Linked DNA regions of Saccharomyces cerevisiae S288C. The gene in region 1 interacts genetically with each later gene. Each region holds a gene or a part of one and is shown in the gene's direction. Other genes may lie near its edges.

Evidence for each region.
Region 2: mutations in CSG2 (region 1) and ACS2 together harm fitness more than expected from each alone (negative genetic interaction), as found in Saccharomyces cerevisiae (3 studies listed by BioGRID).
Region 3: mutations in CSG2 (region 1) and ERG10 together harm fitness more than expected from each alone (negative genetic interaction), as found in Saccharomyces cerevisiae (3 studies listed by BioGRID).
Region 4: mutations in CSG2 (region 1) and SEI1 together harm fitness more than expected from each alone (negative genetic interaction), as found in Saccharomyces cerevisiae (3 studies listed by BioGRID).

Annotation. Positions count from the first base shown.
Region 1 is NC_001134.8:307,898-316,223, reverse strand, and holds CSG2 (mannosylinositol phosphorylceramide synthase regulatory subunit), read left to right. Parts: upstream 1-5,910; coding exon 5,911-7,143; downstream 7,144-8,326. Other genes in the region: ATP3 (F1F0 ATP synthase subunit gamma), read right to left, coding at 1-649; chitin synthase CHS2, read right to left, coding at 1,435-4,326; Cu-binding protein SCO1, read left to right, coding at 4,772-5,659. UniProt on the Saccharomyces cerevisiae protein: Required for calcium regulation. May regulate calcium accumulation by a non-vacuole organelle. Also regulates the activity of CSH1 and SUR1 during mannosyl phosphorylinositol ceramide synthesis.
Region 2 is NC_001144.5:442,340-449,569, reverse strand, and holds ACS2 (acetate--CoA ligase ACS2), read left to right. Parts: upstream 1-1,994; coding exon 1,995-4,046; downstream 4,047-7,230. Other genes in the region: RNH203 (Rnh203p), read left to right, coding at 1,256-1,588; YLR152C (uncharacterized protein), read left to right, coding at 4,882-6,612; PCD1 (8-oxo-dGTP diphosphatase), read left to right, coding at 6,833-7,230. UniProt on the Saccharomyces cerevisiae protein: Catalyzes the production of acetyl-CoA. Provides the acetyl-CoA source for histone acetylation in the nucleus. 'Anaerobic' isozyme of acetyl-coenzyme A synthetase, which is required for growth on fermentable carbon sources such as glucose.
Region 3 is NC_001148.4:495,660-503,851, forward strand, and holds ERG10 (acetyl-CoA C-acetyltransferase), read left to right. Parts: upstream 1-2,436; coding exon 2,437-3,633; downstream 3,634-8,192. Other genes in the region: ATP-dependent RNA helicase SUV3, read left to right, coding at 1-2,060; SMA1 (Sma1p), read left to right, coding at 4,006-4,743; putative serine/threonine protein kinase SKS1, read right to left, coding at 5,016-6,524; RMI1 (Rmi1p), read left to right, coding at 7,858-8,192. UniProt on the Saccharomyces cerevisiae protein: Acetyl-CoA acetyltransferase; part of the first module of ergosterol biosynthesis pathway that includes the early steps of the pathway, conserved across all eukaryotes, and which results in the formation of mevalonate from acetyl-coenzyme A (acetyl-CoA).
Region 4 is NC_001144.5:925,021-932,956, forward strand, and holds SEI1 (seipin), read left to right. Parts: upstream 1-3,722; coding exon 3,723-4,580; downstream 4,581-7,936. Other genes in the region: zinc-coordinating transcription factor SFP1, read left to right, coding at 548-2,599; DUS4 (tRNA dihydrouridine synthase), read left to right, coding at 4,769-5,872; 60S ribosomal protein eL31 RPL31B, read right to left, coding at 6,045-6,329, 6,679-6,735; YLR406C-A (uncharacterized protein), read right to left, coding at 7,186-7,335. UniProt on the Saccharomyces cerevisiae protein: Involved in lipid metabolism and lipid droplet (LD) morphology, number, and size. Facilitates initiation of LD formation, and ensures that vectorial budding of LDs from the ER is directed towards the cytoplasm.

The DNA of each region.
Region 1 (8,326 bases):
TAAAGATCGGTTTTTCAGATGGTTCAAAAGATAGGGAAGACACTGGGTCATTGTAGAAAATGGAAATCTTTGGGTAAGTGCCGGCCTTCATGACACTCAATAACTTATCGGCAATCAAAGCAGATTCTTGGAAAGTTGGGGCATCTTTACCAATTCCATTAATAGACAATTTAATGTTGTTAGGATGGGTTCTCAATAGCTGCATTTTAATTTTATCACCAATAGTGACTATATCGGCGTTTGGTTGATCATTCAAATGTCTTCTCACAGCTTTAGCCAATTGAGAGTGGATAGAACCACACAACCCCTTATCAGAGGTGATAGCAACAATCAACTCTTTAGGAGCACCTGTTTCAGTAGCCTCAACATCCAAATTTTTGGTTTCGGCGTTCTTGTAAAACAACTGCTCTGCTTCATCCATCTTCTTTGCGGAAATTTTAGCCTTTTCAGCTTTACTCAATCTTGTAGATGCAACAATCTTCATAGTTTTTGTGATCTTCTCAATATTTTTGATAGATTTCAAACGCATTTCCACTTCTTTCAAAGTAGCATAAGTTCTCACTGGGTTAGTCTTATAAAGAATACCCACTTGCGCTTGGTGGCACATTACGGAGCGTGTTGCATTGTTTGATACAATTCTTGACAACATGACTACTAAATAAAATAATGTTTACTGCTCGTCTTCAATTGTTTCCACCTGAAATTAACCAAAACGGTTCAGTCTCAATAGTTTCTTATTTGTCTTTTTTAACTGAGTGATAATCATTTAAGCATCTCCCTTCCGGGCCTTCTTTAATCGTTATTGCGGTCCGGGTTCCTCGCGTAGTTACTCGCCGCTCATTGGTTCTCCATCACGTGATAAACATTTCTTCCAAATAAATGAGAACGTTCATTAAATATCGAATAATTCACTTATTATATCTCCATCATATACTTACTAGTTCTAGCGACAGCTCCTATTCATATATCTTCTTACTTTTTTTTTGTTTTATCGACAATTGCTCTACGTTTCGACGTCTAGAAAATGTACTAAAACAGTGCGCTCTCTACCCATAAGGATGAAGAATACGTAATAACAAGAGTTTATTCTCCTTAGTATGTATTTGATAGCACACTCAGAAAGATGAGTTACTACTTGGAAAATCTCAAAAGCTCTTGATGCCCAGCTCATACATAAAAAAACGCCGGAGAACTTTAGCGTCACCAGTTACTGCGACACGGCTTTTAGAGAGGAAAGTAAAGGTCTATGAGTAAAAAGATAGATTATGTTATGCTACATTATATTTGGTATTGAAACATGTATATTATATATAAAAAGTCTAAGAGAGAAATGTCAAAATATCCTAGAAGGTAATGGTTGTCATAACCTGTACATTCTAAAACAGAATGAGAAAAAAGAGGGAATGACGAGAAATTAGCTGAAAAATACTGGCATTAGCCCTTTTTGTGGAAAACATTTGGTAAGTCTAATTTAGAGACTTCCCATGAGCCGCTACCTTCAACTTTATTTCTGTAACTCACTATTATACGCAAGTATTTCATGAACAAAAAGGCCATGGAACCAACCACCCTAAAGGCAGCTAAAGCGGCCACAGACCATAAAATGAATATCAAATAACCATTGTCAGTATCTTGTGGTGTAAAGACTTGAATTATAGACATGATCAGTATTAGATTTGATAGCATCCAAATCATCACAATTCTGGTTCTTATATCTCTATAATAATCATTCTTGGATTGTTTTTCATTGCCGCTTGATTCTTCAAATTCTGGTTCTTTCAAACGACTTTTTATTTCCAAAAACTTCTTATCAACTTCCTGAGGCCAATCTGTTTCCACAATCTGTTTCCCATCTGGACCTTGAACGACAATGGCCTTGGACAATTGCTTGGACTCCTGTGTGGAACCTTTAGTACCCCAGGAAACGTCGTGTGTATTACAGAAGGCAAAAATCTGTAAAGTACACGTAAAGGCGGGAAGTGTCAAAAAGTATTGTATGGATGATGTAAACATGTGCCAAGGATCTAGGTACATCAGTGATGAGAAAAAGTATAGGCCATAGGTGGAGAGCAATGAGATAACGATGTCGACAAATATTTTGTGGGATTCCGTTCCAGAAGCTAACGACTTGAAAGCAAAAACAAACCCACAAATTAGAGAATATGTGGCACATATAGACAGTATAACCATGGAGGTAATGAATAAATGTTTCGCGCCCTGGGGTCTATTACCCATGGAAATAATGAATAAACTTGCCAAGTCACAAAAGATCAGGTATTTAAAAAAAATGAATAAGGCCTCACCATGTTTAATAACTAAATTCATTGATCCTGCTAAATAATAAAAGGTAAGAACGAAATTTGCAATAGAAAACCAGGAAAAAAGCATCTGAATAAATTGATAAAGGAATTCAACATGAAGAAAGAACTTGCGTACAACAGAATGTTTAGTTTTCCAAATTTGGTAGAAATGCAATTGAGCATAAATTGCGGCAAACATTGCACCATTTAACCAACGTCTTCTTTGAGAAATAAATTCAGAAACGTCTTCGGGAACATCCGTTTCACCAGTGGCTTCCTTAACATATTTTAGAACCCATTTTGCATCTCGCTTGGCGACCAATTCCCAACAAAGAATTCTATCTTCAGCCAAGTACATATTTGCAGTGAAAACATCATGGTCTCTGCCTTCTTGAGTTTCACCAAGGAAATACGATCTGAGAGGGCCAGTGCCATCTTCATGATTTTTTAAGGCTCTATACCTATATGCGGACAGGGCACCAGGAAGAACAGAGATATAACCAAAAACACTTTCTAATGGTTTATCTAAAATATTCGAGATCTTATATTCAAAATTTTGCGATGCAACTAATGGATTGAAAAGTTTCAGTCCCCACTTCCCCTTCATAGTCTTAATCTGACCAGCCGCACCAGCCACATTTGAATCCATATCAAAAACCTTCCATAACCTGTAAATTGCTGTATTGTTTAAACGTGTACCGACATCAACCAAAGTAACTACAGTAGGTTGCAAAACGGGACAAAACGCGTTGAATAGCCAACGATGGGAATTGATCTTTTTCTTATTTTCTTCTTTTAGACAAAAAACCAATTGCACAGGAACAATGTCCTTTGAAACATAATCCAGATCGGCGTTGATAGAGACCTGAGTTGTCAATTCAAAAATGTGCGCTTTTACCGGATCACCATTCACAGACGCCTTGGCCATATCTTCTTGATAAACACCCAAAGCAGCTAAATAGTCGAGAGACCCTTGGTTGACTTTTGCTCTACCGTCACTAATCAGAATTACAGAGACTTTCTTCCAGCCATTGGGGCCCCAAACATGAGATTTTTCACGCTTACAAAGATGAGCAACATTCTTCATAATGGAGTGGATGGTTCTTGCCAATGAATATTTATCTTCATTGTACATGGTAATACAAATGGCAATTTGACATTCTCTGTTCATCTCTGCGAATCTCAAAGTGTAACCTTCTCTCAAAAAATCGTCAGGTTCCACAGTGCAGGCTGTATATCTCATTTCCGTAAACTCAGGGGAGTTCCTACGAGGCAAAGTATCCAACAGACCTTTTGGTATCGGGTTGTCTAGTTTCAATAGTGCCTTCTTCTTGCTTGGGGGAGGCAAGTCTGAGACCATTCTTCTCTTACTCTCAGAATTGGCACGTCTTACATACTGCTGTCTTGTTGGATGGTTCAGTTCAAATTTTGTTTCATTGAAAGTGTCTGCAGAGAAAATTGTAGACTGATCATCATAGGAAGTAGTCGAAGTGAGGTATTTTTCCTTTTCATCGTCTGCTTCTGCCAGAGAGGGAGCCGTTGTGGAAGTAGTAGACATCGTGTATTTCGAGCTTTGAGAATACAATCTGCCACTTCCAAACAGATTGTTACTGGGCTGTTGCTGGGGTGATAGATGGTAGGGGTCTACCGGTAGATCTGCATTATCGCGGGGGTAAAGGTTACTCCCCTCACTTAGATGTATGACAGCCTCGCCTGCTCTTTTGGGAGACTCTTGTAGATTAGCAGCATACCTGTTCGGAGCAACTGGAGAGTTATGGGCACTATCGCGGTAAAATTGAGTTCTATGGCGACGGTCTGGGGAGTATCTTAGTGCAGCTCTCGAAGGAGATGCCGGAAGGCCTTGGAAAACGTTAGATTGGTCATAGCTATCCTCCAAACTCTCCTCACTGGGATTAGCCCACCGAGAGTTGCTGTTAGCGTTTGCGTAAAATTTGGAGAGGTTTGAAGCACCACGTCTATTAGGAGAGCCATTCGAAGGTTCCACCATAAACGGGTTTCTCGTCATTTCTATATGTGGTTCTTTGGTTTTTATTTGGGTCTATATGTAACTTCCTCTGTTTTCTCTTCTGAGTCACGAAATCAACAGTAATATTATGGAAGATAGTTAAATAGACTGGGGCCATCCCAAGGGAGAGTCCTCGAATTCCCAATTGAAACTAAATTGAAGTTCTGTAAATTTCAATATCGATGCTATCATACTCAAATAGGAAATATATAAACAAATAGTATAGGGGTTTATACTAGGGTTTTAAACCCCAAAAAACTAACCCTACTATCTTCTTTTCAGACCCTAAATTGAAGGAAATAAACGGGAATAATAATCAATAGCGATCTCCCGAAGAGAAAAGTGAGAAAATAGTATAATTGTGTCTATTGTGTTTATAATCGGCATTAGAAACGTATGTTCGTATAAGGCAAGGGAAACAGAAAAAACAGCAAACGTAGAAAAGATGCTGAAGTTGTCAAGAAGTGCCAATCTAAGATTGGTCCAATTGCCAGCCGCAAGATTAAGTGGCAATGGCGCTAAATTGCTCACTCAAAGGGGATTCTTTACTGTAACGCGCTTATGGCAGTCAAATGGCAAGAAACCATTAAGCAGAGTACCTGTGGGCGGTACTCCCATTAAGGATAACGGCAAAGTGCGAGAAGGCTCGATCGAGTTTTCCACGGGAAAGGCCATTGCTCTATTCCTAGCAGTCGGTGGGGCACTTTCTTATTTCTTCAACAGGGAGAAACGCAGATTGGAAACACAGAAGGAGGCTGAAGCAAACAGAGGATACGGTAAACCTTCACTTGGGGGACCCTTCCATCTGGAGGATATGTATGGCAATGAGTTTACGGAGAAAAACCTTCTCGGTAAGTTTTCTATAATATACTTTGGGTTTAGTAACTGTCCTGACATCTGTCCTGATGAACTGGATAAGCTAGGTCTATGGCTTAATACACTCTCTTCAAAGTATGGTATTACTCTGCAGCCATTATTTATAACTTGTGATCCAGCAAGAGACTCCCCTGCTGTATTGAAAGAGTATTTGAGCGACTTTCATCCCTCCATCCTGGGTTTGACGGGGACGTTCGATGAGGTGAAGAACGCATGCAAGAAGTACAGAGTATACTTTTCTACGCCTCCAAACGTCAAACCGGGCCAAGATTATTTGGTAGACCATTCCATCTTCTTTTATCTCATGGACCCTGAAGGACAGTTTGTTGATGCTTTGGGTAGAAATTATGATGAAAAAACGGGCGTGGACAAGATCGTGGAACACGTTAAGAGTTATGTGCCTGCAGAGCAGCGCGCCAAGCAGAAGGAGGCATGGTACTCCTTCTTATTCAAATAAGATTGTAAATATATGCTACTTTCTTCCTTGTATATACATATATACTTATAACGCTATAACCCGTTCTTGTAATATCGGCTATCACCCGGCGAAGGTGTATCGCAAGAAAAAAAAAAGCTCTCTCACTCTAAAGGAGGCTATGTGAACGTGGGAAGATCAAGTGAAAGAAATGTTTGTAGGCCATTTTCTTCCAGAACAGATCCGCTCTTGAGCTGGTGAGTTAGCACGATAACAAACAAAGATACAGCGTCATGTCTACCACACTACTTTGGTTTTCAAGTGTAATAGGCTACGTGATTCAAACAAAATGTTTGTCTAACATACAATCTAAAAAGGAAATCTCCGTGGGGCCCAATGGTACAATTGCAACGCCTGAAACTAACGGCGACAACGGAAACTCAAGTTCATTAACCTTCTATCTGACCTTTATGTATTTTGCTTCGTGGCTGCTCTTGGTGCCTGCATCTCGACTTTGGGAGAAGATGAGACCGATGTTTGTCTCTGACTCAGACTCGAACAGGAATTCTCAGTTTGACAACAACAACAGCGGGTCTGTGACAAACGAAGATGTCGATACGTTCTCGCACGTGTTGGATGATCCTCAACCACGGATTCCAGCCCAACAGCAGAAGCAAAAAATCATATCCGTGGCTACCTTCAAATATGTGGCTAAGCTAACAGTGCTGGCTCTCATAATGATTGTCGCTGATTTGACTTATAACATGGCTTTGTCATTGTCACCGGCATTTGATGTTGCTTTGATGCAAAATACTGCCATTTTCGAAATTGTCACTTTACTATATGGTGTTTGTGGAATCTCCAGGAAGAACTACGTTTTCCGTAATTTCCTCATCATGATGAACGCGGTCATTGGAATTTTGATCATCTCATACACGAAGGCTACCTGTGACATGCTTGCCGGAAAGCTGTCCGTCAACCCTAACACGGGTGAACTTTCTGACCCATTCTTGTTTGATAGGTTGAAAGGTGCTCTGATTTGCGGCCTTGGTGCTTTGATTATGGGTCCTTTTGCCGTGTTATGGAACCGTTGGTTTTGCAGTAACATTTCCAAGAACGAAAATTCTGCTGTAGTCTTGGTTAAGCAGAGCACCCACATGGCCCTAATCGGTATTATTGGCATGGTAATACTTTTGCCATTTATTCCTAAATTTCCCTCCCGTGAGTCTGTGGAATCCATTTCGTTGTTCTATAATGACAAGAGCTTTTGGTTCTCTCTACTAGGCTCGATTATCTTTGGTTCCTTGCCGAGCTTGATTTCGATATTAGAGTTGAATCGCAAGGCCCCTGCTGAGTATTTGACGACGTGCAACCTGGGAGCTATTATCTTTATGGGGTTAGCTGAGTGGGTTTGCGAACCTACGCAAACCACAATTGTGAGATGGGAAGTCATAGGATACATAATGCTAACGGTAAGTTTGTTGGTCCTATCAGTAACACTCGGGGAAGGTAAATACCACCATTAGTACGGACAACATACTTTATATGACTGATGATGATGTAACAAGCATATGCAATTATTTGGTTTCCCTAAATAAAAAATCCCAATCAATATCTTGATTATTTTCAAGACAATTACTAGGATGTTCTTCTATTTTTTTATTTTTATTTGTATATTGTATATTCTAAAAAGAAGAAGCCATTTGGTGGGCTTTATTATAAATATTAAGAGGCATACCTCCGCCTATCCGCCTATCCTCGTCATGAACAATCAATTAAAAGCGCTTATAAAGCGATATACAAGTACAGTACGCGCGATTTCTACAATACAAAAAATATACATCAAGAAAAAAAATGTTTCCAAAAATTATCTAAATGCATCGAAGGCATTAGGAGAAGTAGCTGTGAATACAACACCAAGATTCATAAAATGAACACACGGTTCCTTCCGCTTGGAAAATAATGCGACAAAAATACCGTATTGATCATCAAAGTAGTTTTAATAGATACCTAAAAAAACCATCTTGAAAAATCTCAAATTACGTTCTTGATCTTGTGTCATTGTTCAGTTACTGATCGCCCGCAAACCTAACCGATGCTTAAGAAAGGACACCCTTGCCTTTTGGCTTATTTACCTACTCGTATTTTTCTCTGTCACATCGTTCGATGTACGGGGCACATTTGGAAATTTCATCAGTAAGTTCAGTGAATAGATTTTTTATTTTACCTTTTTGTAGTGGGATTTATTCTTTTAAAGGCAAAAATCTACTGAAAAAACGGAAAAAACTAGAATAAACCATTTCTATATATACTCATGTTCCCTGACGTTCTTTTTCCTTTTTCTTTTTCCAGAGTTAACGATAAGATAGACATAAAGTGACAGCGCTTAGCACCGTCTGTTTGCAAATCTAACTTAAACTCCTTTTTTTCTGTCACCTTAAACAGTGTCAGAAAAAATACTAGGTATAAGAAAACGAGAAAAAAATAAACAGCGAACTCGTGCAAACTTTGCTAATAAACAATTAGCTGTAACATTTGTGTGTGGGTGTGGTGATGGTAGGCTTCCCATGGTAATTAAAAGGTTAGGTCGAGAAGAGGATCGGTACGAAGAAGGAATAACAGGAATAAGTTCAAAAACACTGCTTTAGCAACTAAATGCAATAGCAGTGTTTAAGAATTTACGGTTTGCATTTTCTAAACTCAGATTTT
Region 2 (7,230 bases), on another chromosome or scaffold:
ACCGATACCTTTAATTGTGCCAGCTTTATCGGTTTGCTATGGCGCTCTCAAAATTCAGGGGTAGGAGAGTTATCGCGCAGATTAAGGACATAGCGGGCTCTGCAGGATTATGTGGTGAATCAATACAAGGTGACTAAGATTGTTATGTAGTGACTATGGATACTGCATCACCAAAAGGACCGCCGCATGATTTACCATAATTATTTCTCCCTTCATTTACATGTAATCGTTGGAACAAGAACCGATTATTGACTAATGCACAACATCCAAGTATGATTTACAGTCCAAGAAAATGGCATAAGTTTAGGATACCCTCAGAAATTCTATCAGAAGATAATTTGCAACGATTGCTGGTGTAATAAAAAAGAAATAATAAGTATAAAAATACTAGAATATTAGTATCGTATGTAGTATTATGGATTCCTATTGAGAATTTGGTAAATAATTGCACCATTCGATAGAGCTATAATATTTATTATACTTACACCAGAAGTTCTCTTCGAAGATGTAAGAATACGCGAAGGGGAATCGCTACTCTAGGAAATAATGTTATGATTATTTCTCTTTTCGTTTTATATGTTTCATTATCCTATTACACTATCAATCCTTGCATTTCAGCTTCGATGACAGTTTCTCATACCTTATGCCATCATCTTAACACCGTATATGATAATATATTGGTAGTGTGACTACTAGTTGATAGACGATAGTGGACTCTTATTCCTACAAAATATTATTTAGACAATTGTCTGCCAGGTTGTATAGACATTGCGCATCAGATCTACTCAAATATGAAAAAAAGAAGAGAACGTCAACAATTTTAATCGTTCGTATCATCAAGAAGTTCCGGTCCTATAGTGTAGTGGTTATCACTTTCGGTTTTGATCCGGACAACCCCGGTTCGAATCCGGGTAGGACCTTCTTTTTTGCGAATGACGTATGCTGCTTTTTGTGCCTACAGTTTTTTTTTTATTTGGCTAGCCCATTGCTTTGATCGATATTTCCTGTGAGAAGTTTAAATCCACTAAGGTTTTTCATTGTTGCTGCAGATGTGTTTTTCCATTCATCCTGAAATATGCACTGCTATTCCGCATTCCATTCCCCTAGTCTTTTTTAGTTCTTTCCGTTCGACCTTCATCGAAAAATGACAAAACGCGTTAGGAACAACAACCAATTGCAAACAAGCAGTGAAACAAAACCATCAAGGCCCGAAAATACAAGTGTGTACTAATACAGTAAGTAGGTCAAATACGCAATGACCAAAGATGCCGTGAATCTAGATGCTTACACCGTGAGCTTCATGCCTTTCTATACCGAGTATCAAGGACCAACCGAAGAGTTTAAGGATTACAAATTCGAAGATACTATTTACTTTCGTGGCAAGGAACTGAAGAGGGAAAAGTCTGCGACGCCTTCCAGTAGCGATAACACAACTAGTAATACCTTCAGTAATGGCGCCATCCTCTCGGGAAACACAATAACTGGCAAGATAGTTTCAGTGAATAATTACGAAAGAGAGGGCACTGATCGCAACGAATTGGCGCGATTGCAAGAATTGATCTCCCTCATCGATGTCATAAATCAGTAAATATAAACATTAAATACATTACACGTAGCCACCCGCTGTATAGCATAAAACTAACTTAAAATTATTCATATGCGTTTCCCGGGGCCGAAGCGTTATTGCCGATATTCGGTAGCCGATTCCGCTGGCTTTTTTTTTTTGAACGAGGCAAAAAAGTTTCGTGACTGAACTTCTTCGTCACTGGTTTTGTTGATAATTTTTATCGTTTTTTACTTCGAGATTGAAAACAGTGTTCTGAATTTTAGCAACGATATCGCACCGCACGTTTAGCCTGATCAAACCTTATATATACCTCTACCTTAAAATATATATATATATAGTATTCGAATTCCGAATTGTGTGTCTCCGCGGTTAGTGATTGTTATACACAAACAGAATACAGGAAAGTAAATCAATACAATAATAAAATATGACAATCAAGGAACATAAAGTAGTTTATGAAGCTCACAACGTAAAGGCTCTTAAGGCTCCTCAACATTTTTACAACAGCCAACCCGGCAAGGGTTACGTTACTGATATGCAACATTATCAAGAAATGTATCAACAATCTATCAATGAGCCAGAAAAATTCTTTGATAAGATGGCTAAGGAATACTTGCATTGGGATGCTCCATACACCAAAGTTCAATCTGGTTCATTGAACAATGGTGATGTTGCATGGTTTTTGAACGGTAAATTGAATGCATCATACAATTGTGTTGACAGACATGCCTTTGCTAATCCCGACAAGCCAGCTTTGATCTATGAAGCTGATGACGAATCCGACAACAAAATCATCACATTTGGTGAATTACTCAGAAAAGTTTCCCAAATCGCTGGTGTCTTAAAAAGCTGGGGCGTTAAGAAAGGTGACACAGTGGCTATCTATTTGCCAATGATTCCAGAAGCGGTCATTGCTATGTTGGCTGTGGCTCGTATTGGTGCTATTCACTCTGTTGTCTTTGCTGGGTTCTCCGCTGGTTCGTTGAAAGATCGTGTCGTTGACGCTAATTCTAAAGTGGTCATCACTTGTGATGAAGGTAAAAGAGGTGGTAAGACCATCAACACTAAAAAAATTGTTGACGAAGGTTTGAACGGAGTCGATTTGGTTTCCCGTATCTTGGTTTTCCAAAGAACTGGTACTGAAGGTATTCCAATGAAGGCCGGTAGAGATTACTGGTGGCATGAGGAGGCCGCTAAGCAGAGAACTTACCTACCTCCTGTTTCATGTGACGCTGAAGATCCTCTATTTTTATTATACACTTCCGGTTCCACTGGTTCTCCAAAGGGTGTCGTTCACACTACAGGTGGTTATTTATTAGGTGCCGCTTTAACAACTAGATACGTTTTTGATATTCACCCAGAAGATGTTCTCTTCACTGCCGGTGACGTCGGCTGGATCACGGGTCACACCTATGCTCTATATGGTCCATTAACCTTGGGTACCGCCTCAATAATTTTCGAATCCACTCCTGCCTACCCAGATTATGGTAGATATTGGAGAATTATCCAACGTCACAAGGCTACCCATTTCTATGTGGCTCCAACTGCTTTAAGATTAATCAAACGTGTAGGTGAAGCCGAAATTGCCAAATATGACACTTCCTCATTACGTGTCTTGGGTTCCGTCGGTGAACCAATCTCTCCAGACTTATGGGAATGGTATCATGAAAAAGTGGGTAACAAAAACTGTGTCATTTGTGACACTATGTGGCAAACAGAGTCTGGTTCTCATTTAATTGCTCCTTTGGCAGGTGCTGTCCCAACAAAACCTGGTTCTGCTACCGTGCCATTCTTTGGTATTAACGCTTGTATCATTGACCCTGTTACAGGTGTGGAATTAGAAGGTAATGATGTCGAAGGTGTCCTTGCCGTTAAATCACCATGGCCATCAATGGCTAGATCTGTTTGGAACCACCACGACCGTTACATGGATACTTACTTGAAACCTTATCCTGGTCACTATTTCACAGGTGATGGTGCTGGTAGAGATCATGATGGTTACTACTGGATCAGGGGTAGAGTTGACGACGTTGTAAATGTTTCCGGTCATAGATTATCCACATCAGAAATTGAAGCATCTATCTCAAATCACGAAAACGTCTCGGAAGCTGCTGTTGTCGGTATTCCAGATGAATTGACCGGTCAAACCGTCGTTGCATATGTTTCCCTAAAAGATGGTTATCTACAAAACAACGCTACTGAAGGTGATGCAGAACACATCACACCAGATAATTTACGTAGAGAATTGATCTTACAAGTTAGGGGTGAGATTGGTCCTTTCGCCTCACCAAAAACCATTATTCTAGTTAGAGATCTACCAAGAACAAGGTCAGGAAAGATTATGAGAAGAGTTCTAAGAAAGGTTGCTTCTAACGAAGCCGAACAGCTAGGTGACCTAACTACTTTGGCCAACCCAGAAGTTGTACCTGCCATCATTTCTGCTGTAGAGAACCAATTTTTCTCTCAAAAAAAGAAATAACTTAAATGAGAAAAATTTCGTAATGAGATAAAATTTCGCTCCTTTTCTGTTTTCTATTTTCTATTTTCCCAACTTTTGCTCTATTCAGTTATAAATTACTATTTATCCATCAGTTAAAAAACAAGATCTTTTACTGGTCAGCTAGGAAAGCGAAAATACAAAGACTTTATGCACTTAGTGATATATATGTATAGATATATCCATTTTTACGCACTTATCATATATCTTAGTTATCTAAATACAATCTAGTTATTCGTACACAATCGCCCCTGTTATCCCTATAGTGGGAATAAAGTAATGCACTGTGACGGGGTTCTTCGCCCGGGATAGGGTAAAAGGATATTGCCGTTTCAAGAAACTTCGGGGATAATCGAATAAGATACCGAGAAAGCTATTGTTCGTTGTGCACGTAGGATGTATATTGAACAAGCATGACCAGAATCTGATGCATTACGAGAAGGTTACGGGATGATATCAGACCTCCGAAGTCCATGTTGCAAAATGTGCCGACTTTCCGCGGCGCTATTTGGCACAAATTTCAGGAGAAACATCACTGTCGGTGTTATAGAATTCCATCTATATTGTTTTCCCCGTAGGCATACGTCGAGGAACTACTATATCTTTTTTCACCTTTTGTATATCTGTATTTTTGGGTCAATGTCTGGTACATAAGGTGAGTCATATTTACATCAAAGTGTGTAACGTATAAGAGGTAAAACAAGTTACAGTACTCATATAGTATTTCTTCTATCGGTAATTCTACATGTGTCTGATCAAGGTCTATCATTTTTATATGGTGGAAACGATTTTCTAGTACTACAATAAATGAACCAAGATGTCCCTTTCTCTGGGTGCCGCTATTTACATTGCATTAAAACCTATATTTAAAATTTACACCATTATGCTTGTTGGCTATTTGGTAGCTAAGTTCGATATTGTTTCCATGGAAAATGCGAAAGGTATATCAAATATGGTTGTTAACGCTATTTTGCCTTGTTTGACCTTCAACAAAATTGTGTCCAATATTTCATGGAGGGATATAAAGGAGATTGGAGTGATAATACTTTCAGCTTTTATCTTGTTTGTTTTAGGTGCCACGGGCGCCTTATTTACTACATTTGCTACGACTGTGCCCAAAAAATTCTTCTGGGGGCTCATATTTGCGGGTTTCTTTCCAAATATATCAGATTTACCTATTGCCTATATTCAGAGCATGGGTAACGGCTCCATTTTTACTGCTGAAGAAGCTGATAAAGGTGTTGCTTATTCCTGCATTTTTTTATTTATTCAAAGTTTCCTAATGATGAATTTTGGAATGTGGAGAGTGGTCGGACTTGATTTTAGAGATACAAAAGAACCAGATAGTGAGAATATTACTCCGTCAGTAAGTCCCGCTATCGACGATCGCAAACTTACTGAAATAACAAAGTTACCTAATATCACACGTCCTACAAATGCCTATCAATCGGAAGATGCGAGAAGTAATAGCGATTTGTCTTGTAACTCTATTACTACAAATGAAATGACACCGCAGGCATTCTACGAAGGTTTTACTGGCTACATCAAACCCTATAAAGAATCAAATGGTGCATCCCATAAATTTGAAAGTGACCTTCCGCATGCTGAAATATATAGGGTTTCCTCGACTTATTCAAGCCCAGGCGCATTGGAGTTCTCGCGAATAGATGGCAGTTCCCTCTCATATAGTCGTATATCAAAAAATAGCGATGGCAGAAGTTATAGAAGAAAAAGGAAAGCGGATATGAATGAGTTGATTTCCAAATACAGTGCCGCCGAAAAAATAAGGCAAGGTGAATTAGATTTATCAAGACCACTATCCTTGACTGAAGAAGTTGGAAGCAGGAACGCAAGTATTGGTAATGTGCACACTGGTTATACCGATGAAAGTTCCATCGAAGAAGAAAATTGCACTAATATGGCCACCGACGGGAGGGGTAGCCTCTCCTTCTTTATAGAGAGACACAATCTCAAATGGTTGCAGTACTTTATTATAAATTGCCTCAGGCCAGCATCTCTGGGGGCAATACTAGGAATAATATGTGCATTAATTCCCTGGGTTAAAGCATGCTTCGTAACGACATATGTTCACGTTCATAAGGCGCCTGATGGAGAACCTGTTCTGAATTTTTTAATGGATTTTACAGAGTATATTGGAAATGCATGTGTTCCATTGGGGCTTCTATTACTTGGCGGAACGTTGGCAAGATTAGAAATTAAGTCATTGCCACCTGGATTTATTAAATCCGCCTTATTGATGACATGCTTTCGATTAATTGTCATTCCTATTATTGGCGTCCTATGGGTAAATAAACTATATTCGATCGATTGGCTGGATACGGGCATAGGAAAATTTGACATGATATTAACGTGGTCCATGCCGAGTGCTACTGCTCAAGTATATTTCACAGCATTTTATACGCCAGCATGTGGTGATCACATTCAAATGAACTGTTTGTCCGTCTTATTTGTCATGCAGTATGCGATTCTTTTCATCACTGTGGCGTTTGTTGTTACATATACCTTAAAGGTCGATTTAAAAGTTTGATTATATCCCTAGGCGAATAGGTATATACAAGAGTAGCTTATTATCAACTTATATATTCTGTTTTTTCAAAAGTAGCGATGAATTCCAATCGCGTATTTATTCGTTGTATTTATTTTTTGGGGTAGGGTTGTGGGGGGGGATCCGCGTAAGTATATTTATAACAATTCAATAATAATATTGTAGATTTGAAGAGAATCACACATGTAACAGAAAAGCTGTAATGATATTAAGTCAGAGGAGGATGCTGAGTTCAAAGCAACTAATAGAGAACTTGATAAGATACAAATTTCATAAAACACCATATACTCGGAGCTCAATATGGCCTTTCAAAAGAAATTCGGCGGTAATAATACTATTATTCATTGGAATGAAAGGCGAACTACGAGTGCTTTTAACTAAACGTTCAAGAACATTGAGAAGCTTCTCAGGTGATGTTTCATTTCCTGGAGGTAAAGCTGATTATTTTCAAGAAACCTTTGAAAGCGTAGCCAGAAGAGAAGCTGAAGAGGAGATTGGGTTACCGCATGATCCTGAGGTCTTGCATAAGGAGTTCGGAATGAAATTAGACAATTTGGTCATGGATATGCCATGCTATTTATCAAGAACATTTTTAAGTGT
Region 3 (8,192 bases), on another chromosome or scaffold:
TACCCAAAAATGAACATTCAAAATTAGATATATTCCAGTTTAATTTTAACAAGTCCGAAAGCAATAATGTGTATTTACAGGATTCATCATTTAAAGATAACCTTGATAAAGCGATGCAATTTATCTATAACGATAAATTGTCATCCTTGGATGCCAAGCAAGTACCAATAAAGAATCTTGCTTGGTTGAAATTAAGAGATTACATATATCAACAACTAAAAGATCCGAAACTGCAAGCCAAAACCTATGTACCTTCGGTAAGTGAGATCATACATCCTTCATCTCCTGGCAATTTGATTTCGTTGCTGATAAATTGCAATAAAATCAGCAATTTAGTCTGGAAATCTGTTCTCAAATATAGCCTGAGTAACAATATAACTACATTGGATAAATTTATCCACGTCCTGCAACAGACCTTCGACCATGTGTACGAGCAGGAGATACTACCCATGATGACGAATACAGATGATACAGATGGCGCTCACAACGTTGACATAACAAATCCAGCAGAGTGGTTTCCGGAGGCAAGAAAGATTAGAAGACATATAATCATGCACATTGGGCCCACGAATTCAGGCAAAACTTATAGAGCGTTACAGAAATTGAAATCCGTGGACCGTGGGTACTACGCAGGGCCGTTAAGACTGCTAGCAAGGGAAGTGTACGATAGATTTCATGCAGAAAAGATAAGATGCAATTTACTGACTGGAGAGGAAGTTATTCGTGATTTGGATGATAGAGGAAATTCAGCAGGGCTGACATCAGGCACAGTAGAAATGGTGCCAATAAATCAAAAATTTGACGTTGTTGTTCTTGATGAAATTCAAATGATGTCTGATGGGGATCGTGGCTGGGCTTGGACGAACGCGCTTTTAGGTGTCGTTTCCAAGGAGGTCCATCTTTGTGGTGAAAAGAGTGTTCTACCTTTGGTTAAGAGCATTGTTAAAATGACTGGCGATAAATTAACGATTAATGAATATGAGAGGTTAGGAAAGTTAAGTGTTGAAGAAAAACCTATCAAAGATGGCATCAAAGGTTTGCGCAAAGGAGATTGCGTCGTTGCGTTTTCAAAGAAGAAAATATTGGATCTCAAGCTAAAGATAGAGAAAGACACCAATTTGAAAGTTGCTGTAATTTATGGCTCTTTGCCGCCTGAAACACGTGTTCAACAAGCCGCCCTATTCAACAATGGAGAGTATGACATAATGGTAGCATCAGACGCTATTGGTATGGGTTTAAACCTGTCTATTGACAGAGTTGTATTCACGACAAATATGAAATATAATGGTGAAGAACTAATGGAAATGACTTCTTCTCAAATCAAACAAATAGGTGGTCGTGCGGGAAGGTTCAAATCTAGATCTGCCTCCGGGGGTGTTCCTCAGGGTTTTATCACCAGTTTCGAATCAAAAGTTTTGAAAAGTGTAAGAAAAGCTATTGAAGCACCTGTGGAGTATTTAAAAACTGCGGTTACATGGCCTACAGATGAAATATGTGCTCAACTAATGACACAATTCCCACCAGGAACGCCGACCAGTGTCCTGCTGCAGACTATTTCAGATGAGCTAGAGAAAAGTTCTGACAACCTGTTCACGTTATCTGATTTAAAGAGCAAACTGAAAGTTATTGGCTTATTCGAGCACATGGAAGATATCCCATTTTTCGACAAGCTGAAACTAAGCAATGCGCCCGTGAAGGACATGCCTATGGTCACAAAGGCGTTCACCAAATTTTGCGAAACAATAGCAAAAAGGCATACAAGAGGCCTACTGTCATACCGATTACCTTTTAACCTACTGGACTACAATTGCATACCGAATGAGAGTTATTCATTAGAGGTTTATGAGTCATTGTACAACATCATTACTCTATACTTCTGGCTCAGCAACAGGTACCCAAACTACTTCATTGACATGGAATCTGCTAAAGATTTGAAGTATTTCTGTGAGATGATTATTTTCGAGAAACTTGATCGATTAAAGAAGAATCCTTACGCACATAAGCCCTTTGGTTCTACAAGAGGTCACCTCTCATCTTCGAGAAGAAGATTGCGTACATAATCTACGATATATCCTGTAAATAGAAACAGCTACACTGCTTGAAAGCCTTAACATGATACATTTCTGGTATGATGCCATTGTTGTGCCCTGCCGGGTTTATCGTTTCCTAACAGGCACGTCACTTATAACGAGGTGCCTGTCGTTTACCGCCCAAGCCGGTTTTTTCGCTGGAGAGTACGGTACTACTAGCCCACCACACGTTCGTGGCCAGGTTGATAGGCCACCGTTGAGCAAAGGGCAGTAAAATATATAAAAGAGGAACAAGCGCTTCCATTAAGAGCACTGCTAAGCCTACTCGTTTTCTAGTTCTCTGAAAAAAGGTAGCCTAAAACAAGCGCCATATCATATATATTTATACAGATTAGACGTACTCAAAATGTCTCAGAACGTTTACATTGTATCGACTGCCAGAACCCCAATTGGTTCATTCCAGGGTTCTCTATCCTCCAAGACAGCAGTGGAATTGGGTGCTGTTGCTTTAAAAGGCGCCTTGGCTAAGGTTCCAGAATTGGATGCATCCAAGGATTTTGACGAAATTATTTTTGGTAACGTTCTTTCTGCCAATTTGGGCCAAGCTCCGGCCAGACAAGTTGCTTTGGCTGCCGGTTTGAGTAATCATATCGTTGCAAGCACAGTTAACAAGGTCTGTGCATCCGCTATGAAGGCAATCATTTTGGGTGCTCAATCCATCAAATGTGGTAATGCTGATGTTGTCGTAGCTGGTGGTTGTGAATCTATGACTAACGCACCATACTACATGCCAGCAGCCCGTGCGGGTGCCAAATTTGGCCAAACTGTTCTTGTTGATGGTGTCGAAAGAGATGGGTTGAACGATGCGTACGATGGTCTAGCCATGGGTGTACACGCAGAAAAGTGTGCCCGTGATTGGGATATTACTAGAGAACAACAAGACAATTTTGCCATCGAATCCTACCAAAAATCTCAAAAATCTCAAAAGGAAGGTAAATTCGACAATGAAATTGTACCTGTTACCATTAAGGGATTTAGAGGTAAGCCTGATACTCAAGTCACGAAGGACGAGGAACCTGCTAGATTACACGTTGAAAAATTGAGATCTGCAAGGACTGTTTTCCAAAAAGAAAACGGTACTGTTACTGCCGCTAACGCTTCTCCAATCAACGATGGTGCTGCAGCCGTCATCTTGGTTTCCGAAAAAGTTTTGAAGGAAAAGAATTTGAAGCCTTTGGCTATTATCAAAGGTTGGGGTGAGGCCGCTCATCAACCAGCTGATTTTACATGGGCTCCATCTCTTGCAGTTCCAAAGGCTTTGAAACATGCTGGCATCGAAGACATCAATTCTGTTGATTACTTTGAATTCAATGAAGCCTTTTCGGTTGTCGGTTTGGTGAACACTAAGATTTTGAAGCTAGACCCATCTAAGGTTAATGTATATGGTGGTGCTGTTGCTCTAGGTCACCCATTGGGTTGTTCTGGTGCTAGAGTGGTTGTTACACTGCTATCCATCTTACAGCAAGAAGGAGGTAAGATCGGTGTTGCCGCCATTTGTAATGGTGGTGGTGGTGCTTCCTCTATTGTCATTGAAAAGATATGATTACGTTCTGCGATTTTCTCATGATCTTTTTCATAAAATACATAAATATATAAATGGCTTTATGTATAACAGGCATAATTTAAAGTTTTATTTGCGATTCATCGTTTTTCAGGTACTCAAACGCTGAGGTGTGCCTTTTGACTTACTTTTCCGCCTTGGCAAGCTGGCCGGGTGATACTTGCACAAGTTCCACTAATTACTGACATTTGTGGTATTAACTCGTTTGACTGCTCTACAATTGTAGGATGTTAATCAATGTCTTGGCTGCCTTCATTCTCTTCAGGCTCTATTAATTTTAACCGTTATAAGTTCCTTTTCTCCCTTGGAAGCAAACATCAACTGCCTTAAAATCTGGTGGCGAGGAAAGAGGAAATGGCATGTACTAATGATGGTCCTAATAAATATCCCGAAATTGTGAGTGTTAAGCACCTGTTCCAACATTCGGGATCCAAGCATGAATTTAGTGCTGGTAAACGATTTTCAAAATCCATTGGTAAAATATTCAAACGAAACTCTGCTTTGAAAACTTCTAGAACTGAAACGGCAAATCATAAAATGGAATTGAAAAAAAGAGAGGGTGTTACCTTATTGCCACCTGTCCCAGAATCATTATTACATAAACTCAATTCTTGGTTGGAAACTTTTTCTTCCACCAAGAACATGAAAATCGAAGAAAACAAAATTGTTATTAATGAAAAAGAGATTCGGGATTCAGTCTCTTACTACCCTGATAAGAATGGAGGAAGTGCTGTATTTTGTTACTTGCCCGACCTTGTGCTATATTATAAGCCGCCTATAAAAGTCACAGGCAAGCAATGTCCAATAAAGAGAAGTCCTTGGGAATCGATGGAAATCCAATATCAAAAGTTTATGTACCCCTTAGAAAGGTTGGAAAGACAGTTTGAGGAAGTTCCATTTAGGCCCTGGTATTTTGCAATGCGATTAAAGGAACTTTACAGATGCTGTGAAAGGTCTTTTACTAACGCGGCAAATAGAGGAAAGGCAAGGTTATTGCGGGGGAAGCAAAGGACGAAAAAATCGTATCATAAGACTGTCAACCTGGTATCAGCGAAGATTTCCACCCATTCAAATGCGCCGTCGCCGGGCTGAGAAACAAAAAAAGTGACTAAGTTCTGTCATTCTATCATTATTGTAATTAGTTATGTAGGACATATATATCCATAGTGATCTCCTTTTGATCAAAGAAGACACTGAAAAGTCGTAAGTTCGTAAAAAAAGTATGAAAATCGTTCCAGCCATTGCTTATAGCCATCCTAGTAGGATACTAGAAAAAAAACAAACCTCAAAGATAAAAAGAAAAGGTGAAGCTATTACCGAATTAGAACATAAGATAATACAGTGAGTATAAAGGTGAGACCTGCTCAATAATCTGGTAACCATTTCTCGTTTGGACCGTCTGTTAAAGTAGAAAAATTCATTTGTAAGCATAATAGCCTATTTCTTAATGTATCTTGTTGGAATTTGCAATCTTTGGAAGCACTAACGTCATCGATATCAGATTGGTAAGGTGTACTGTCCATTGAGGAAGTTAAAAAGGTACTATTATTGTGGTTGTTAGTGTATTCATACTTTTCCATACTTCCGTCACTATTATACGTTGATGGAATATCACTCTCCGGTTCAGCATCTTCCTCTTCTTGCTGCTGTTGTGCTTGTTCCTGGTTTTGTATTTGTTCTTGTTTTTGTTCCTGTTCTTGTTCTTGGACTTGCTGTTGTTGTTGTTGCTGTTGTTGTTGTTGTTCTTGGTCTGCAGAAAAATGTGATAAATCGCTCAAAAATAGGTTTTCATTCCTTATAATATGCGTCATGTAAACTTCGCTCGATAGGATTGGAACTTGAGACAAGGGCCCTTCCCTGGTGAAAGAAGTAAGAGAGGAAACTTCGGACATCAAAGTTTTCATGTCTATTCTTGTGTATGGATTTAGTTGTAGAATTTTCGTCAACACTGTGAACAGCTCATCTGATATAGGAAGGATTTTCTTCAGGACATTATTATCGTTAGCAAAATGTTGAAATGTGTTATCCTCCTTCTGGTGAGCTTTTAACCATGGGTTTCTTATGCAAGTTAAATTAATTAGGATGATGCCTAGAGACCATATATCTCCTGTATCCGTAGGGAGGCTCGAACAGCATTCGTCGACGTGTATGCCGTTGGTGGTGGTATTCAAACAATACAATATTCTTTCTGGAGCCATATAATATGAACTGCCAACGCACACATTTGGAGCTAGATATTTAGATTTAGTGGAAAGCCCGAAATCGCAAAGATAAGCGTTGTCATTGCGATCCAGTAGGACATTTTCAGGTTTGATATCACAATGATATATACCGAGACGATGACAGTGATCTAATGCGGAGCAAAGCTGCAGAAAAACTTTCTTAATCAAAATACCATGATTTACAAAATGCTTATCGTCAACTATCGAGGTGAAAAGGTCCCTGTCGTAATAATCCATCACTATAAAAGTGGCAATAGAAGATTCTAAAACTTGGTGAATCTTCACGATATTGCCGTGAGACTGCACTCTTAGTTGGAAGGCAATCTCCCTGTAGTGTGGTAGCCTATTTAGTTCATTCTCAGTCAACTGTAATATCGAGTCTAGATCAACGGAAGGTAAGAACAATTTTTTTTGGAAACTTTTGAAAAAATGATACAGTTGCGTTTGCAGAAGAGTGGTTCGCGCCACTTGAGAGTTGTTGTTCAAACCGTTCTTATTATAAAACTCATCCATCGAGGAGGATTTGAAGACCGTTTTCACTGCATATTCACGGCTCGTCAGTATATCCACCACATGGAACACTAGTCCATACGCACCCGACCCTATTTGAGCCGTTATTCTGAAATTGTTCAGCAAGCAGTCTGACAGCATTTGTACACAAAATTTCTTGTCTGTGTTCTTATTTGATGTTTTCTTTTAAAGAGTTTTGTTTCCGCTAGGGCGATTTAAGTCAATAAGTAAATTTAACAATTTACTAAATATATTTTGTATAATATATAAGAATATACGCCTTAAGAATGTCCTCTCATGCGAAAAAGGTAGCAAGAGCATAAAAAGGAAAAAGAAAACGCTATAGTCATTTGTAGGCTCTTGTCTTTCTTCGTCTTCGTCCCGTGAGTGCGGACTCAGAAAACACCGCAATGATGTGGGTCCGGAATATCTATTGCACAGTTTTAGTAGGGTCACCGATATCGTTAAGGTTTGTGGTAGGAACAGAAGGTACTGCCGGCCCTGTATACTGCCCTTTTGTTCCGACCATTTCTTTTTTGCATTTGTCCCAAGATTCTCTCTCCCCACAAAATCTGCTCAAGTATCTGTCCAACGCGCTTTCTTCGGCTGATAGATAAGTTCCGATTTCGTGGGAAGCAAAAAAAAAAAAAAAAAGAAAAAAAGAGTCTGTCCGAGAAATGTCCCGGAAAACGTGGGTGTGCGGTGAGGAGATTGTACTTCCATCCCACATTCCTCGTGTTTGATTGGCTGCAAGCCACTTGATGCCTAGAAAAGAAACACCGCGTGGTGCATCTATGTCCATATCACGCGCGCTAAAACAGCATGTAGAGAGCGCGAGGGCGGCGTACTGCACCATTCTAATAGGAAATCCGGGATGAATGCCCTCTCCGGAAATACCTCCACTAAGCCTCAATGGAAAGTTGTTCCGCTCACGCGAACAGGTTTTTCCGGGGAGTCGAGAACTACAGTGACGTAAATACGACGACATCGCTAGAGCCAGCAGAAGCCTCCATACATTCAGACTAATTAGTTGACGGGCTTGAGCCAACTAGACATATTATGTAGGCACATATGCTCCAACCAATACATATGTGTACATAGAGTACAGCTCTTCCCAGCGCATCCGCTATCGTCCTCTTGACAGGTCCGGCTATTTATTATCCGCGGCATCCGCGGCCCAGCGCACAATAATAGATTACTTTGCAATGCAAGCGGTCTTGGCTGTTTGCTCTGAGGGTCCATCTTCGTTTATTTCTTTATTTACTAAATTAATTATGATACTGCACTCAGGACGGGCCAAGAAAGCATGTAGCGTGAAGAGAAACTAATTATTAAGAAAAAAGAAAAAAAAAAAAAAAAAAAAAAAGAAAAGGAAAAAGGAAAAAGATAAACCAATCATACAATCTTTACAGAAAGGGAGTACTGAGAAGAAGGCCAAAATACTGCAGAGCATACATACTACCGAGTGGATGGAATGTCTTTTTCATCTATCTTATCACAGGATATCACAGATGACATTACACCACCAGCGTATTCCGCCACCTTGGGGTCGAGAGAACAGATTGTTTTCAGAGCTTACCAAAATGAACCTTGGTTGGCTGGTACTGCTTCGAATCTTATCTTAGATAAAAAACTTGTTATTGTAGACAGAGAACTGTTGTTCCAGGTGTTGATGGTAGAGAATATCACCAAATCCAAGCTAACACAGATCGATGATATAAAAACCAAGCTGGATCCGAAAAAACAGAAAGTGGATAGACTACGATCAGGCGCGCAAGGAAATGGCGCTAAGAAGTACGAGGTCATCAC
Region 4 (7,936 bases), on another chromosome or scaffold:
CTAACGTACGCATTTTACCTCCCAGGCCCTATCTCTTTTCTACCTGTCATCCCTATATAACGTCTTGTACATTCTAGTGGCTCCGTTAACAAGGTTTGACAAATATTACAATCAAAGAAGGATAGCGCTAGTCAATCTAATCATTAAGTTCGCTTATAAAGAGAAGGAAAGCTAGATTTTTTTTCTACTTCAATTACATATCGGTGCTTCTCTCTGGTGGTTTTCTGTTTTTCTAATATTGATCGATTTTACGGTGAGTTAAACTACTTCCTTTTATCGCAATATCATATTTAGAGCGAGAAAGCAAGAAGAATAAAGCTAGGAGAAAAAAGCGCCACGATACATTCATACTAAGTTTATAATATACCGGTCGTCTTTTGGCTTTCTGATACCATATTATATCCTCGAAACACTTTCTCTGGATTCACCTACTATTAATCACCTCAAGATTTCACTTGTAAGGCGTTTTCAAATTTATTGTTATTAAAAGACATATTCATATTCAGTATTTTTATTTTTCTTCGAAACAGGAAAAGCTTATCTGAGTATGGATTTTACAACAATGACTATGGCAAGCAATATGGCTACTAGTACTACTACGACGGCTACATCGGCACATGCATCTATAAATTCGTCATCAAACTTTAATATTGATATTGATTCGAACCAGAATACTCCTTCCATTTTGATAAATAACAATTCGGATTCTTCTAATGGAAAAAACACAGATTTTAACGGCGTCAATAATATTCACCAAAAAAATATCATGAATAATACAAATAATGTTCATTTGTACTCTCCAAATATAATGGACCAAACGCTACTAACTCCACAGGACATTGCCAAGTTACGGAGAGAATCAATAGCCCATTCTCAAGGGATGGGTGGTGTTTCATGGGGATCCATTAGTGTTGGTTCTTGGTTAAGAGATGAAATTATTAGCCGTAGAAATAGTATTGTACCTGCATCAGCAAACGGTGCTGCCTCCGCTGCCGCTTCTGCAACCACTACTGCCACTAATACTTTGCAGATTCAACAACCAACTAAGAGACCCTCTGTTAGTAATCCGCCTTACCATAGAGGGTATTCTATTTCTCCTCAGATAGCCTACACTGCTTATCTGCCAAATCTAGAAAAGCAATATTGTAAAGATTATTCATGCTGTGGTCTTTCCTTACCAGGTTTGCATGATTTGCTGAGACATTACGAAGAAGCTCATATATCCACGTCTCCTAACACTACCAATATGTCACAAATACCGATGAACTCTGCTGGTAACACTAGTTCATCAGTTCGTATGACAAATAATACCTCTTCTGCCAACTATAACCTGCAGAATAACATGGCCGCTAATACAAAAAATGCAGGTCATAAGACTAATACTATGCAGGCTCATAGCAGCAATGCAACTAATAACACCTCCATTAATAATATGCATGCCAATCTTCAGAGCAACATGGATTCCAACTCCACAATACGACAATCTCAGCATCCTCACCATCAGCAGAATATAATACAACAACAGTTGCAATCGAATTCTGTAAATCATACATCAGGGGCTGTACCCACACCGAGTGTAATGGGTTCAGCAACTGCGTCGTCCACAACTGCAAATCCAAATGTGATATCTATAACGGGTGCCCCCAACTCGGGCTTATCTATGGCTAATCACTCTCAACAACTACATCTGAATGGTAATCTAGTCGATGCCGTTTCAACGAATGATGTGTTTTTAAGAACGAGCAATTCTCCATCAAGACACGTTCCGCACAATAAACAAATTAACAGTAACAATAATAGTGGTATCAATATCAATAATAATACCTCACACAATTCTAATATTAACATGGGTAGTAAAAACGCCATGGTGAATCGTCCACATACTTTTAATAACTATTCCTTGAACAAAACGTCCAGGAATCCTATTCAACATCAATCAAGAAAAATTGATCCTCATCAAACCGATTTATCACCTCTGGTACTTGTCCAAGATATAGATTTAAGTTTTATGGATGATGATATTTTGGGCCCTAGTAACCACAATTCCATGAACTCTGTCGTAAATCCAACTACAGGTTCTCACAACTACAATACTTTTCATTCTTCCGTACACGCAAAATCTTCTCAAAACATGGTCGAGGATCAAGACATTGATGACATTGATGATGACGATGATGTTGATGATGACGATGACGATGACGATGACGATGACACAGAAAATGGCTCCAGTTCCAATGGAAAATCAGTTCATAACAACAATTACAAGATGCCTCAGCAAGCTTATATAGACGATCCTGCGAGAAGGCTCTATGTAATGGATCATGAGGAACAAAAACCCTTTAAGTGTCCAGTTATTGGTTGTGAAAAGACTTATAAAAACCAAAACGGTTTGAAGTACCATAGGTTGCACGGACATCAGAATCAAAAATTACATGAAAACCCTGACGGTACATTTAGCGTAATAGATCCAGATTCGACAGATTCTTTTGGTGATGGAATGGGCTCTGCAAAGGATAAACCATACCGTTGTGAAGTTTGTGGTAAGAGATATAAGAACTTGAACGGTTTAAAATATCACAGGGGCCACTCCACTCACTAAGATATAATTGTTTCTTTACTGAATTGATTTAGTATGCTATTTAGATACTAATTCTACCGTTACCGACTCATGCATCGAGCGGCCGCTCTTTCTCTTGTTGTTGGGCGCAATTTATGTGATCATCTTTGAACGAAAATGCATGATAAAGCTGTGCTCTTCGACTGTTACCATTAATTTCAAAAAATAAAAAGCATATCTATTATTGAAAAATGAACTTATAATAGAATAACATTTTCTTGTTTTGTCATCATTTCCTCTAAATACTCCGTCATGAAAACGATTTGCGCTCTGTCTGGTCTCTCCTTTTAGTATTATTGTTGTGTGTTTTTTACTATTCATTTTTTACTACTGTGTTTTTACTATATATATTTTGGCTTTACTTACTTCCTTCTGTTCTGATGTATTAAAAACTATTTTTATTCTAAGAAAAGAAACTTTAATTCTTCTTATTCATGCTCTAAATCTTAAATAAAAGGTTCCGTTTTTTATCTGCAATTCTGTGTATTTGTAAGTGAATTACCATGCACGTTGTCGGATCGTTTTTCTAGGCAGAAACTATCTTATTGAACCATTAAAAGATTACTTAAATATTACAATTAATCTTACGAAGCATATTAATTAGACTGGAATTACAGCGCAACTATCACAGGTTAATAATTGGTTGAGAAAATATTATAGTTTTGTTAGTAATGTTGAACTTTTATTTTATACACTTATGAAAGTAAATTAATTCAATATCAATAATAATATACTATAAGTAACTTAAAAAGCAACCTTCCTCCCAAACCTACAATCCAATCACGCTGATAAGTATTATCTAGAAAGTTGACAACACCAAGCCATATGGTCAAGAAACATTTATTGAGAGTTATTTTGTAAATAAGACTTTTCGTCATCCATATAAAGCAACCTAATTGTTCATCTAATACTAGAGTCGCTCTTTTGAAAGTTAAGTATAACTACCTCATCATTAGTTGCTACTATGTGTATAATTTGAAAATCTCAACGTAAGGTTATTAAAAATATAAATGCGCGTAAGACAGAAAAATAGAGACAGCTTACGGCAAATTATCAAAATGTGAATCCAAGGTTTCAAGAAAATAAGATAAAGTGAATAGGAAGGATGAAAATCAATGTATCCCGTCCATTACAGTTTTTACAATGGAGTTCATATATTGTTGTTGCATTTCTGATACAATTGCTAATCATTCTTCCTTTATCGATCTTAATATATCACGATTTTTACCTAAGACTATTACCTGCCGATTCCTCTAACGTAGTCCCCCTTAATACGTTCAACATTTTAAATGGCGTACAATTTGGTACAAAATTCTTCCAATCTATTAAAAGCATTCCGGTAGGTACAGATCTGCCGCAAACAATAGACAATGGCTTATCACAGTTAATCCCCATGCGTGACAACATGGAATACAAGCTCGATCTAAACCTACAGCTTTATTGCCAGAGCAAAACTGACCATTTAAATTTAGACAATTTGTTAATTGATGTTTACAGAGGTCCAGGCCCGCTATTGGGTGCTCCTGGAGGAAGTAACAGCAAAGATGAAAAAATCTTTCACACTTCTAGACCTATTGTCTGCCTCGCACTGACGGATTCCATGTCGCCTCAGGAGATCGAACAACTAGGCCCATCACGTCTAGACGTTTACGATGAAGAATGGCTAAATACAATAAGAATAGAGGACAAAATATCGTTAGAGTCTTCATATGAAACAATCTCGGTGTTCTTGAAAACGGAGATTGCCCAAAGAAATCTAATAATACATCCAGAAAGTGGGATTAAGTTTAGGATGAATTTTGAGCAGGGATTAAGAAACTTGATGCTTCGAAAAAGATTTTTATCTTATATTATTGGCATTTCAATTTTCCATTGCATAATATGTGTACTTTTTTTTATCACAGGTTGCACTGCATTCATTTTTGTTAGAAAGGGTCAGGAAAAATCCAAGAAACATAGCTGATAGAATTGTACTTCTCGCTATATAATTTTAAAACCTAGCTGTTATTTTCTAAGTAAGTAGGCTCTTCCAGCATTCTGCTTCTTCGCCCTGAATAAAAAAAAGATGATCAGCGAAAAAACTCAAAATGAAAATAAGAGATGGATTCTTCAAAGTTATAATTCATATGCAGAATAAAGATTCTAAAGAAAATGCACACAATGCATATTCCATCCGGTGATGTTCTGATACCGAAGCCGAAGCTTATTACTGAAGAAACAGATCCACTGCATATAATAAAGACGAGGCAAAAGACACATGGTCGGCCCGTGACCATTGCAGGCCCAATGGTTCGGTATTCCAAGTTACCATTCCGTCAGTTGTGCCGAGAATATAACGTTGATATAGTTTACTCCCCCATGATTTTGGCAAGAGAATATGTCCGTAATGAGCATGCAAGAATCTCAGACCTTTCTACAAATAATGAGGACACCCCGCTAATCGTCCAAGTAGGTGTAAATAACGTGGCTGATTTACTAAAATTTGTGGAAATGGTTGCCCCATACTGTGATGGTATTGGTATTAACTGTGGTTGTCCTATAAAGGAACAAATCCGAGAGGGCATAGGTTGCGCTCTGATATACAATTCAGATTTGTTATGCAGTATGGTCCATGCTGTGAAAGATAAGTATGGCGACAAACTAAGAATTGAAACGAAAATAAGAATACATGAGGCATTGGACGAGACGGTGGAGTTATGTAGAAAGCTATGTGATGCTGGGGTAGATTGGATTACGATTCATGGCCGAACACGTAGAACTAGGTCATCGCAGCCGGCTAACCTGGATGCGATAAAATATATCATCGAGAACATCAGCGACAAAAATGTGCCTGTAATAGCGAATGGGGATTGTTTTAAGTTATCCGATTTGGAAAGAATCACCAAATACACTGGTGCACATGGTGTCATGGCTGTGCGTGGGTTGTTAAGCAATCCAGCGTTATTTGCTGGATATACTACCTGCCCTTGGGGCTGCATTGAGAAGTTTTGTTATTGGGCTCTAGAGTTTGGTGGCTTGCCTTTTCAATTGGCTCAGCACCATCTGTACTGTATGCTTGAAAATATGGAGTTGAAGAAATCTCTGTTAAAGAAAATGATGAATCTTAAAAATTACATTAGTCTGATCGACTGGTTTAATAAAACCTTTGAGTTCAAGCGTTACGGCGAGGATGGATTTGGCATGGGCGTTGAAATTCCTTATAAAGCTAATAGCTGTGTGCAGAGGAGCGCCTCAGTGGTTGAGAGACAAGAATGAATAAATTTTGAATTACAAAAATCTAATAAACTGTGGTACTGAAATTGTATATATTTTCCTATCATTCAAGAGCGTATACTCGTACCCCGAAAGCAGCTCTGTTTGTGTAATAATATAACCTAAAAGAAATAAAATGCTTATAAGATGGACATTATTTTTTTTTTTTTACAATTTAAGCATCTTCTTCAACGACAACGGTTTGTAGACCCTTAGCAGAGGCAACCAAAACTGGTTCGACGTAGGAAAACAATGGGTTCTTGGCATCTTCTTCTTCGTTTCTCTTTCTGGAGATTCTCAATCTCAATCTGTATTCAACACCCTTAACACCTCTTTTCCAGATAGCTTGGTTCAATTCTGGGGCTAGACGGACATCTTCAGTACCCATGTGTAATTTGGCGAATTTCTTGATTTCCTTCACAGCTCTTGGAGCTCTCTTTTTGAAACTGACACCATGTAGCTATATTAATATCAATTCAAGATTGGTCTGTTAGTAAAAAAAAAGTTGTTATAAGAAGGTGGAACTAAAGCATCACGCCAAAAACATCGGCCCAAGCGCCATTATAGTGTAAACGTGAGGTACGGATATCGATCGCAGAACACAGAGAAATGCAGTACCGAAGAAGAACCTTCCAGTCCTTGCATCACGCATTCCATATAATAACCTCTAATATTCCGAATTAAAACCTGGGGTCAATCATTGGAAAATGAAATTTCACCCGTATAGATTTCGCTTGGTATTTCACCACAATATCGCTTGTTGGCTTTCAATAATTTCCCACGTAAAGACAACGCTAATTTCGACATACTCTTTTGTGCAAGTTGATGGTGTATTCACGAGTGACAACGTCTTTTAAACCGGCCATTTTCAAGTACTTTGGATTATCTGCTCGTGCAATTGAAATATACTAAGACCCAAGACTATGTAAAACTAAGGAACCTATCAACAATGAGACTGGTCAAATAATAGAGTAAACATGTACATGAAGCACTACCATCAGAAAGAGCTTACAAGGTTACGAAACAACGTCAGTGCCCTCTGTCGCATTACCCTCGGTTTCGCGCCCTTCCAGTTGGCATTTGAAGTGCCAATCCAATTGTGAGCACATCCAACTAGCGTGCCCTTGCAATCCCAGAGGACACCATACAACTTCCAGCCTAGTAGTGAACTTACCAGGCGAGGAGCGCGGGCGCCAGAGGGCAGCTCATCTGCGTTCCGGCTCTAACGAGAAGGGCGGAAATGGCACCATCACCTGAAAAAGAACGTAATCTAGGCTGAGCCGCGCCTTTAAGTTTTTGTCGCATCTGGCTGCGCTTCATTTAAACGGCACTCCTAAAAAATTGTATGAGGTGATTTTTTTTGTGTACAGATGTACGGATGTACGGATGTACGGATGTATACTATGTAATAATGCACGGATGTAGAGAAACAGAAACGAGGATAATAAAATCGGTTTTTGTATCATCTGGCGGCGATATGGCGCAAGGCTTTAAGTAAACGTCCTATATGGTACTAACGGGGTTTTATTCCGAATCAAAAGAAAAAGAGATACGAAGTCTCTCTTAGTAAAAAAGTCTTTATGGAAGATTATCGATAATTCGATAATTCTACCGACAACAGTGGTTTTGTTTGGCTCAGCAAACGTGCAGCACCATGATCTTGGTAGATTTCTTCTTTACCCTCACCTTCCCCACACCATGTTTGCTTGCTACCCGTGTGTAATGCTATCAGCGCGCGTTTCTTTTTTTTTCTTGCTAACATTTTTCAACTTTAAAATGAAACGATGCATGAGTGATAGAGGCATTGAACTTTAGTAAACAATAGAAATAACCATCGGAGTTATTATTTTTTTCTGCTTATTCTTTGGTCGCAAAAAAGTGTGTTGTATAATTCTTTGGAATATTTATAAAAACAGGGAATACTCTAACAACAAACGCTAGTGCTTAGCTACTCTTCCGCTGGTACTTCAATATAGCTTGTCACATATTTTTGTCCATTAAGGTCGTTAAAACCCGAATAATTTTGTACGATCAGTTTAGTAAAAGAAATACAGTATTCAAAAGCTA